Linked DNA regions of Chlamydomonas reinhardtii. The protein of the gene in region 1 binds, or shares a complex with, the protein of each later gene. Links are inferred from orthologs where the notes say so. Each region holds a gene or a part of one and is shown on either strand. Other genes may lie near its edges. The genes, in order: CHLRE_06g306800v5 and CHLRE_01g030950v5.

Region 1 (3,904 bases):
TGTGATGGAGAAGCATACCCCGCCGCCCCCACACCGCGCCCCGCCCCCTTGTGCTCCTCCCCAGGCCGCCAGCTCGCGGCGGTCCATCCTGCTGTGTGCATTTATGCAGCACGCACGCGTCGGCTTCCACGTGTGTCCACCGGTCACTTCTCGGGCCCACCGGGGCCCGGGCCCCACATACACGCACACCGTGCCAACCTTCACACATCTGCACACCTCCGCATACACACACATACACACACAATGCCAACACACATCTTCCCACGCTCGCGTCCACCTTGGTGGCGGCCACTGCCTTGACGATGTCATCGAAGCCGGGCGGCGGCCCGTCCTCCTCCTCCGCCTCGTCCGCCCACGATTTCTTGGGAGTCTCCTTTGCTGGCTCCGGAGCGGCGGCCTCCTTGGCCGGCTCGGCCTTAGGAGCCTCGGCCTTGGGGGCTGCAGGTGGTTGGATTGAAGTTGGAAAGCGGGATTGCGTGTTAGGTGGGCCCTACATAGCTGTGTTGGGCAGGCGACCGAAGTCCGTGTCGACTGGGCGTCGCCCAGTGCTGGGTTCCCCCGCCAGGCTGTCCAGGCTGACACGCACTCCGGCGCAGCTGCGATGCTCGCCGCGCTCGCCGGCACGTAACTCACCCTCCTCCGTCGGCTTTGCTGGCGCGTCGTCAGCCTACGTGCAGACACGAGCGAGAATCGAAATTTAGTCCAAGATCGAGAGCCGCTGACTGCATGTGATCTGTCTGTTGACTCTATAGTTTTGAAAGTATCTCACGCACCATCTCGACTGCTCGGCGCCTGCTCTAGACCTGAGTCCTTCTGTGTTTGCCGCCGCACGCCAAGAACAGCTCAGTCACCAGTAAGTCAAGAACTCTGTGGGCCAAACCGATTAAAAATGTATATGCAATGGTCGTCGCTTCGCGGTTTTGTGGCACAGCCCATGCAGACGACCGATGGATTTTCTTATTCAGACCAATTTTCCAGTTCTGCTGCGACAGCTGCATATAATCAGCACACAAAATGGCAGGAGCAATGGAGGCGCAGGGAGGGGACGACAGCGCGGCAACCGGCGCCAAGGTGTGCCTGCATGTGCACCTCTGACTTTTTCGCTGTCTCGCTTGGGTCTTTGTGCTCTTGCGCTAGATTAAGCTTCAAAATGTTTCGGAATTGCGCCCCAGGCGGCTCATGAGGAGGAGCGCATTACCTTCCTAGGCCGGCCGGCGCTAGTTGTGACACTTGGCACTGGCGGCGGGGCGGGCGCTGGCGAGCGCTCGCAAAAGCGCGCCCGGCCCGAAGAGGGAGGCGACGAGGGAGCGCAGGGGGGCATCCGGCAGGTGAGGGGGGGGAGGGGCACGAGAAGGATGAGCAGGACGGGTTGGAGGGGTTGATGACGGCTGCGGCGGCGGGGGGCTGGGCTGCTGCCAGAGTCACAACGCGTTGCCCCCCGCCTCCACTCCAGCACTACCTGAGCACGCTGCTGGTTGAGTGGTAGTGGAACTTGCGCAGAAAGCTACCCGTGCTGACCTCGCCTCAAACCCCCACCCCCGCACCCCCCTCCTTGTCTCTCCACATGCGGCTTTGTCCCTCCTCTCTGCACACACGGCATCGGTGCTCGCGGGCGCAGGTGGCTCGCAGCATGCTGCGTGCGCACAAGCTGGGCGTGCTGGTGCCGCTGGTGTACCATACGGACGTGGAGAGCGGCCGGGCGGTGCTGGAGGCAGTGCCGGGCAGGCCGCTGCAGGCGCTGATGGAGGCGGCGGTGGCGGAAGCGGAAGCGGGGTCGGCAGGGGCGGAGGCGGCGGAGGCTGGTGGCAGCGGCAAGGCCGCGGCAGGTGAGCAGCAGTGTGAGCCCTACCGGGGACACCGTGACGCTGAAGCGTACCGTAAACCAAGTCATGCTGCAACTCTGCACCGATTTCAACTTCTCTGGTCATTGCACCGTATAGCATTGCACACGGCCGCCACACGCCACCGCACCTCAACTCACCACAACCTCCAAACCCGCCCAACCCGCCCGGCCCTGCCGGCACGCCAGACCTGGACGCGGCGGCGGTGGCCCTGGGCAAGGCGCTGGCGCGGCTGCACGACGGCGACCAGGTGCACGGCGGGCTGGGCGGCTCCAGCGTGCTGCTGCGGGACAGCGACGGAGCCGTGGTGGGTGCCGTGCGAGTGTCGGGGTGGGAGCAACAGGCGCAGCAGCATATGGAATGCAAGGAATGGGGCAGATTGCATTTGTTGGAGAGGGTGCTTGGAGGAGAGGCCCGCGCACCAGTTGGGGCACACGTAAAGTTGAACTGTACTGTACACGAAGGAGGACTTGGGTTGGTGGTGGATGCAGGGAGGATGCGGTCTGGTGTACTGCTGGCTGCGCTGGGGCCCCTGAGGCTCGGGGGTTCTCGCACAGATGTGACCTTGGATACCGGCACACACGTGTATCCTCCCCGCCTCCCCCGCTGCAACCTTCAGTGCAGGCTTCTCCAACCATCTTTGCAATCCCCCAACGCCTTCTGCCCACCTCCTCCAGGTGCTGACTGACTTCCGGCGCTCCACCAACTCCCTCATCGCCATCGACAAGGCCTCCGACCTCGCGGCACTGGAGAAGGCGCTGTTGGAGGCGGCGGCGGGACGGGGAGGGCAGGTGAGGTGGGGGAGGAGGGTCCAGGGGGTGTGAGGCAGCAGCACCAAGTCGGTGATGATGGTGGTTTTGATGGTGATGTTTGCGGTGACGCAGGAGGCTGCCGCAAGCACGTCGGCAGCTGCTGCGGGCGCGGAGTCGGGCGGTGATGGGGCGAAGGCTGCGGCTGCGGCTCCCTCCAAGGCGACAGAGATTGCCTCAGCCTTTGTGAGTCATGCCAACTGTCTAGCTGCTCTCGGATGCAAATGTGTGCATTTTCTTTCTGTTCTGACTCGCCATTGTCAGCTAGTCTCTCGCACGCGTGAAGGCTTTCCACGTGTGAAGGCACTACTGAATCTTTATGCTGTGGCGATGTGGCGACAGTTCGAGAAGGTCCTGAACACCTACCGCCCGTCATCCCGGATGTGGTCAGCCGTACACAACAAGCTGGCAGAAGGTACGGCTCATGGCAACATGGGGAGGGCCCGAAGGCGGCATGGGACGGTGTGCTGTGCAATCGTGCACACCTCGTGCCATACCATCCGGGCCGGGGACTGTGATATGTGTATCCGTCACGCCCGACCTCTGCTTCCGTTGTGTCTGCCATTCTGCTACCGCAGTGCGTGGACGAAAGGCGGTGTCACAACCCGGCCAAGCAGCGGCAGCGGCAGGGTCAGGGGCGAAAGCAGCGGCCGCAAACAAGAAAGCTAAGACAGAAGCTGCGAAGTAGAGGCGAGCTGCCGCGCTGGGTGCGGAGCGCTTGCGTGTTCCCAACGGGTATGACGGCAGCGACACACGAGGGGGTGGCGGGCGAGGGGCGGGCTGCTTGGATGAGGGTACGGCGGGGGTGTGCTGGAGCCGTGGGCGGCAGGGCGGCTCGACGGCGGCCCTTGCTTCGGCATGGGCTGGGGCTGAAGCATGGTGAGCAAGGGGCCGGCGGTGGCACAAACGTGCACGACGGTTGAGGTGTATGTCCCGTGTTTGCGGGCTGAGCACGGCTTCATCATAGGTCTTTGGCGCAGCGCACAGGCACCTAGGACTGCCTTTGATTGTGTGCCGTTGGTATGCACGCTGCTGGTATGGGCCACTGGGGCTTTTGGATGTGGCGTGTGGGGCAGCACGTTGGACAATGCAGCTGGCGGCCTCGGACGACAGACACAAGGACTTGAAGATGGGTACCCCCGGACGGTTCAGGCTTTCGGGCGGGGGGCGGTGCCCGATGCCGTGGTGCGGTCGTTTCGCAGGGCCGGCGCCAGGCGGCACGAGATCGCATGGATTGATGCATGGGAGGCCGGC
Region 2 (3,904 bases), on another chromosome or scaffold:
GTGTTGCAGTGGGTCAACTAGCTAGCTGTGCCAGACGTGCTTCTTTGAGGGGGAGGTAATTCCTCCTCTGCGGCCAGTGATTGGCCTTGCCTGTTCCCCTTGTTGTTAGTTGGCTGTCATGTGGCGGTTGACTGTTGGACCCGGTTCGGTCCGAGGGGGAGTGTTGGTTATTTGGGGTTTGCGGGCGTGAGTCCCGCAAGGTTGCGTCCCGAACCGCGTGATAGGCGAGGTCAGTGCGGCAGTTGACGGCTCGTGGCCGGTCACGTCTGTCAGCCAGTCCCAGGCCGCAGGCGTGGCACCCGGGGGATATTGCCCCGGCTAGTGCGCACGTTTTGCTAACTACACCCGCAGGATGTAGCGGACCAGACCCCCCAATACGGTGCCAGGCAGCATAGCTGCGCGTGTGTGTAACGCACCCGCCGTGAGTCCTAGCCAGCCGACCCCAATATCTCCAACAGTGGGGACGCGGGTTGGCGAGAGCCACGGATGGCCCTAATACCGTGGGGGCATGTCGCACCCGTGGAGGGCTCTGTATCCCCCTTTACGTTGTAAAGTCCAGTCAAGTCCGTCAAAGCACTGCAAGTACACGATACGCAAGTTCTTGGGTTGCCGCTTCGGTTGTCGGAGCCTATAATCGCATTGGGCACGTGCTCACCAGCACACGCGCACGTGCGCACACGTGTTTCGCACCCTGCCCTAGTACCACAGCCATCACCCATTTCGTCAATTCAATAAACGGCTGTCATTTCCATGGCATCACGGCACTCCGCGCATGAACGCGTCCCGTCAGCACACAACAGCATCAATCCCTACACCTGTAGAGGCCAGTGCTCCTATTTTGCAGTGCCAGCGCACCTTATGCACGCAAACCGGCACGCCCGGCCATCGTTCACGACCGTTACAAGCTCACATGCAGTCTTTTGCGCCGACACGGAAGGTCACGGCGTCCAGACGCCCCCGCGATTGCAGCTCCTGCTTGGACACCTTGAAGTACTATGGAGCGGGGGCATAATTGTGCCGAGGCGGAAGGGTGAGGATAAGTACGGTAGTGAGCTTCTGCTGGAGGCTGGGACAGGGGATGCCGCGAGCGGGGCAGGAGGCCGGAGTGGCCTGCGGCATTCAACCCCAGAATGGACTGTGGCGGCCGTTCGTCCGAACGCAGGCCCTTGCACGTCGAAGGCACTGTAAGGTTTCGGCGCGACCCGAATCTGACCACAAAGATTTCGGCCGCAGCCCTGCGGCACCTGTCTATTCCAGGTGGAACGCCGCACTCTGCCGCCAACACCGTAACCCTGACACTTGCTGCCCTGGACTCCTAGTCCTGTTGGCAAACGGCCTCGCCACCCGGCACCCGCCAGCTCCGCACCTTGTCAATCAGGTCCAGGTCCACCACCGTGCCCAGCTCCGACAGGGCCGCCTGCTCGCCTTCTATCCGCTTGGCCACCGCCTCCAGCTGCGGGTTAGCGGGCAGCCAGTCCGCAGTAGCAAGGTCAGGTGGCAGGTGCAAAGAGGTGCATGCTAAAGTGGCATTGGCGACCGCGACTGAGGTTACTGCAGAAGTATTGCGGTGCTGTGCCAGTTACACCTCAATGCGTTACGCCACCGGGACTCACCTCCTCAGGTTTGCAGTCGAATCGGGCCACCAGCACTGCCGACGTGTCGTCGTTGATGCCGAACCGCTTTAACGACTCAGCAACCTGCCCACCCGACGTCAGGGCACGCACTCGTGGCTTGGACGAGCTTACAGGCACGACACCAGCATTTGGAGTCTCCAGAAATTCATAGCACCCCCTTGACCGCCGACACACACCGACCGCCGACACACTGCCCCAAGCCCGCCTGGCGCGCTGCCGTCCGCCACCACCCTGCCCCACCCGGCACCAGCACGATCTGGTATGACAAGCACCTGCGGCCTTACATGCTTTGTGGCGCTGACGCCGTACACCAGCTCCGTGTGGATGTTCCTTGTGGCCATGCGCGTGCTGCCCTCCGCCGCCAGCGCCCGGTGCCCCGACAGCTGTAGGATGAAGGGGTCCAGCACCTTTGGGTGGGGAAGGGAGGGCAGGAAGGGACGCGGGAGATGCTGTTGGTGTTGTTGCAGCAGTGGCGGGCTCAAACTAGAGAGAGAATTCCCGGTTGTCTTTTCTCAGTTTACAAGGATGCAAGCAACTTTCCGACACGGCTCTAGCAGGGGTCGTCCGGCCCGGAGGCCGCGGCAGGGGGTGGCCAGGGAAGGGCACCGCCGCCGTCGCATAACCCCTTAACAATCCCCAGCACCCACCACTCTGGCGTTTATATATGCAAACTCTGGTAATGAGCCTTCTGCGAGCAGCGCCCGCAGTTCCCTGTGCATGCCGGGCGAAACATTCGTCGTCAGCATAGACCTCCTAGTTTCTTGGCTACAATTCGGCATGCGTACTTTGCATTTTTGACGTCCTTGAACAGTGCAGCCGTTAGCGTGCGGCCGGGATGAGTCTCAAACGACAGAACCGTGGGCTCGGCCATCTTGAAGTTCCGGTGATATATTATAAGTTATGGTTGCTAGACGAAGTCATACAATGAAAGAGGCTGTACAACGATCGCGTTGACTTTAGCGGGATGGACGGCAACTGGATTCCAAAGCTCGCCCCGATGGCTCACCCCCTTGTCGCGCCGTGCGACTTCCTGTTATATGTAAATTGAAATCCATAGATATGGCATCATCTTACCATGTCTGCGCTCCCTTGTTGTCCATCGGGCAGCAAGCGCGGCAGCGTCCCTTGTTCATCGACGCTGCGGGCCGTCCCACGCGTGCAGACGAAGCAGCTTCCACGCCACGCTCTGCCACTAGCTCTGAGCTTATGCATCGCATCGCGCTGCTCAGCCGCGCGCTATCGGCTTGCGGGCTGGACGGCTTGCAGCGCCCGCTAGCCCCGGTCGGCTCGGTGGTGGTGCTGGTCGCGCAGACGAGCGCTGTCATGATGGAAGCCATGCTGGCGTGCCTCGATGCCGGCTGCATCCTCTGCCCCGTAAACTGGCGCTGGAGCGTGGCTGAGCTGGCGGAGGCACTGCAGCGGCTGTCGCCGGCGCTGGTACTCCACGACGTCACATGCGCAGGCCTCGCGCAGCAGGCCGTGGCAGAGGCTGGCCGTGACCTGCAGGTGCAGCGTCAGCAACAAGAGCAGCACGCCGGCAGCAATGGCCCTTATCATGCTACGGCAGCAAAAACGGTGCCGCCTTTGTGCCTTATTGACCACTGGTGCCCAGCAACTGGCAGCCACGGTGCTGTCTGGGGTGGGTGCAGCACTACCACCAGCGCCACCGCTGCCACCGGTGCCCCCGCCAGCAGCAGCGGCAGCAGCAGAAGCACTGGCGCATGCCCACTGACCACCAGCCGTCTCATATCCTTTGCAGCAGGCCCACTGCCGTCCTCAACACCACCGCCGCCACCATCGCCACAGCTGCAGCTGCTGGCTCCCGCCTGCGGCACGGCGCTGCTGGTGTTCACGTCCGGCACCACGGCCGCGCCCAAGGGCGTGCAGCTGAGCCACGCCGCCTTCCACGCCCAGTCGATGGTGAAGCTGGCTCTGGTGGGCTACTGCCCCGCTGACACCTACCTGCACACGGCGCCGCTGTTCCACATCGGCGGCCTGTCCTCCGCCTTCGCCGCGCTCATGGCGGGCTGCGTGCAGGTGCGGCGACCGGTGAAGGGCGTAAAGCGTAGGTCAATGCGCACGTTGAGGTGCCTGGACGCGGTGGCCGGGCAGTCATTTTGCTGAGCAGGGGATATGTGAAGTTTGCATGTGCTGTACCACAGTTTGGTAACGAACACTGCAGCATTGTCATTATTATGTTGGAGCCTTGACGCATGACCACGGGCCGCAGGTTTTCATGCCCCGGTTCGATGCGGAGGCTGCGCTGGCGG

The links.
Region 2: the proteins of CHLRE_06g306800v5 (region 1) and CHLRE_01g030950v5 are in contact, whole or in part, in a cryo-EM structure (PDB 8K20), measured with the Arabidopsis thaliana proteins. The link is inferred for Chlamydomonas reinhardtii from reciprocal best matches to the Arabidopsis thaliana genes AT5G26110 and AT4G34412. Residues at the interface, in NP_001331017.1 of Arabidopsis thaliana: Thr27, Phe28, Ala29, Arg31, Asn58, Ala61, Arg62, Thr65, Arg68, Lys69, Leu70, Gly71, Val72, Cys73, Val76, Leu77, Tyr78, Ala79, Val80, Asp81, Thr82, Leu83, Leu84, Gln151; in NP_680763.2 of Arabidopsis thaliana: Asp7, Phe51, Leu54, Ala55, Gln58, Ile62, Arg66, Lys147, Thr149, Gln151, Glu152, Ile155, Ser156, Asp160, Val163, Cys164, Ala167, Ala168, Asp170, Ala171, Leu172.

What each region holds. Positions count from the first base shown.
Region 1 is NC_057009.1:8,380,005-8,383,908, reverse strand, and holds the start of CHLRE_06g306800v5 (uncharacterized protein), read left to right. Parts: upstream 1-983; 5' UTR 984-1,071; intron 1,072-1,172; 5' UTR 1,173-1,328; intron 1,329-1,618; 5' UTR 1,619-1,630; coding exon 1,631-1,826; intron 1,827-2,029; coding exon 2,030-2,148; intron 2,149-2,518; coding exon 2,519-2,632; intron 2,633-2,725; coding exon 2,726-2,836; intron 2,837-2,992; coding exon 2,993-3,065; intron 3,066-3,228; coding exon 3,229-3,338; 3' UTR 3,339-3,904. Other genes in the region: CHLRE_06g306850v5 (uncharacterized protein), read right to left, coding at 278-438, 634-667, 774-776.
Region 2 is NC_057004.1:4,534,580-4,538,483, reverse strand, and holds CHLRE_01g030950v5 (uncharacterized protein), read right to left. Parts: upstream 2,548-3,904; 5' UTR 2,506-2,547; coding exon 2,420-2,505; intron 2,346-2,419; coding exon 2,282-2,345; intron 2,042-2,281; coding exon 1,919-2,041; intron 1,698-1,918; coding exon 1,614-1,697; intron 1,454-1,613; coding exon 1,367-1,453; intron 994-1,366; coding exon 907-993; 3' UTR 479-906; downstream 1-478. Other genes in the region: CHLRE_01g030900v5 (uncharacterized protein), read left to right, coding at 2,841-3,671, 3,865-3,904.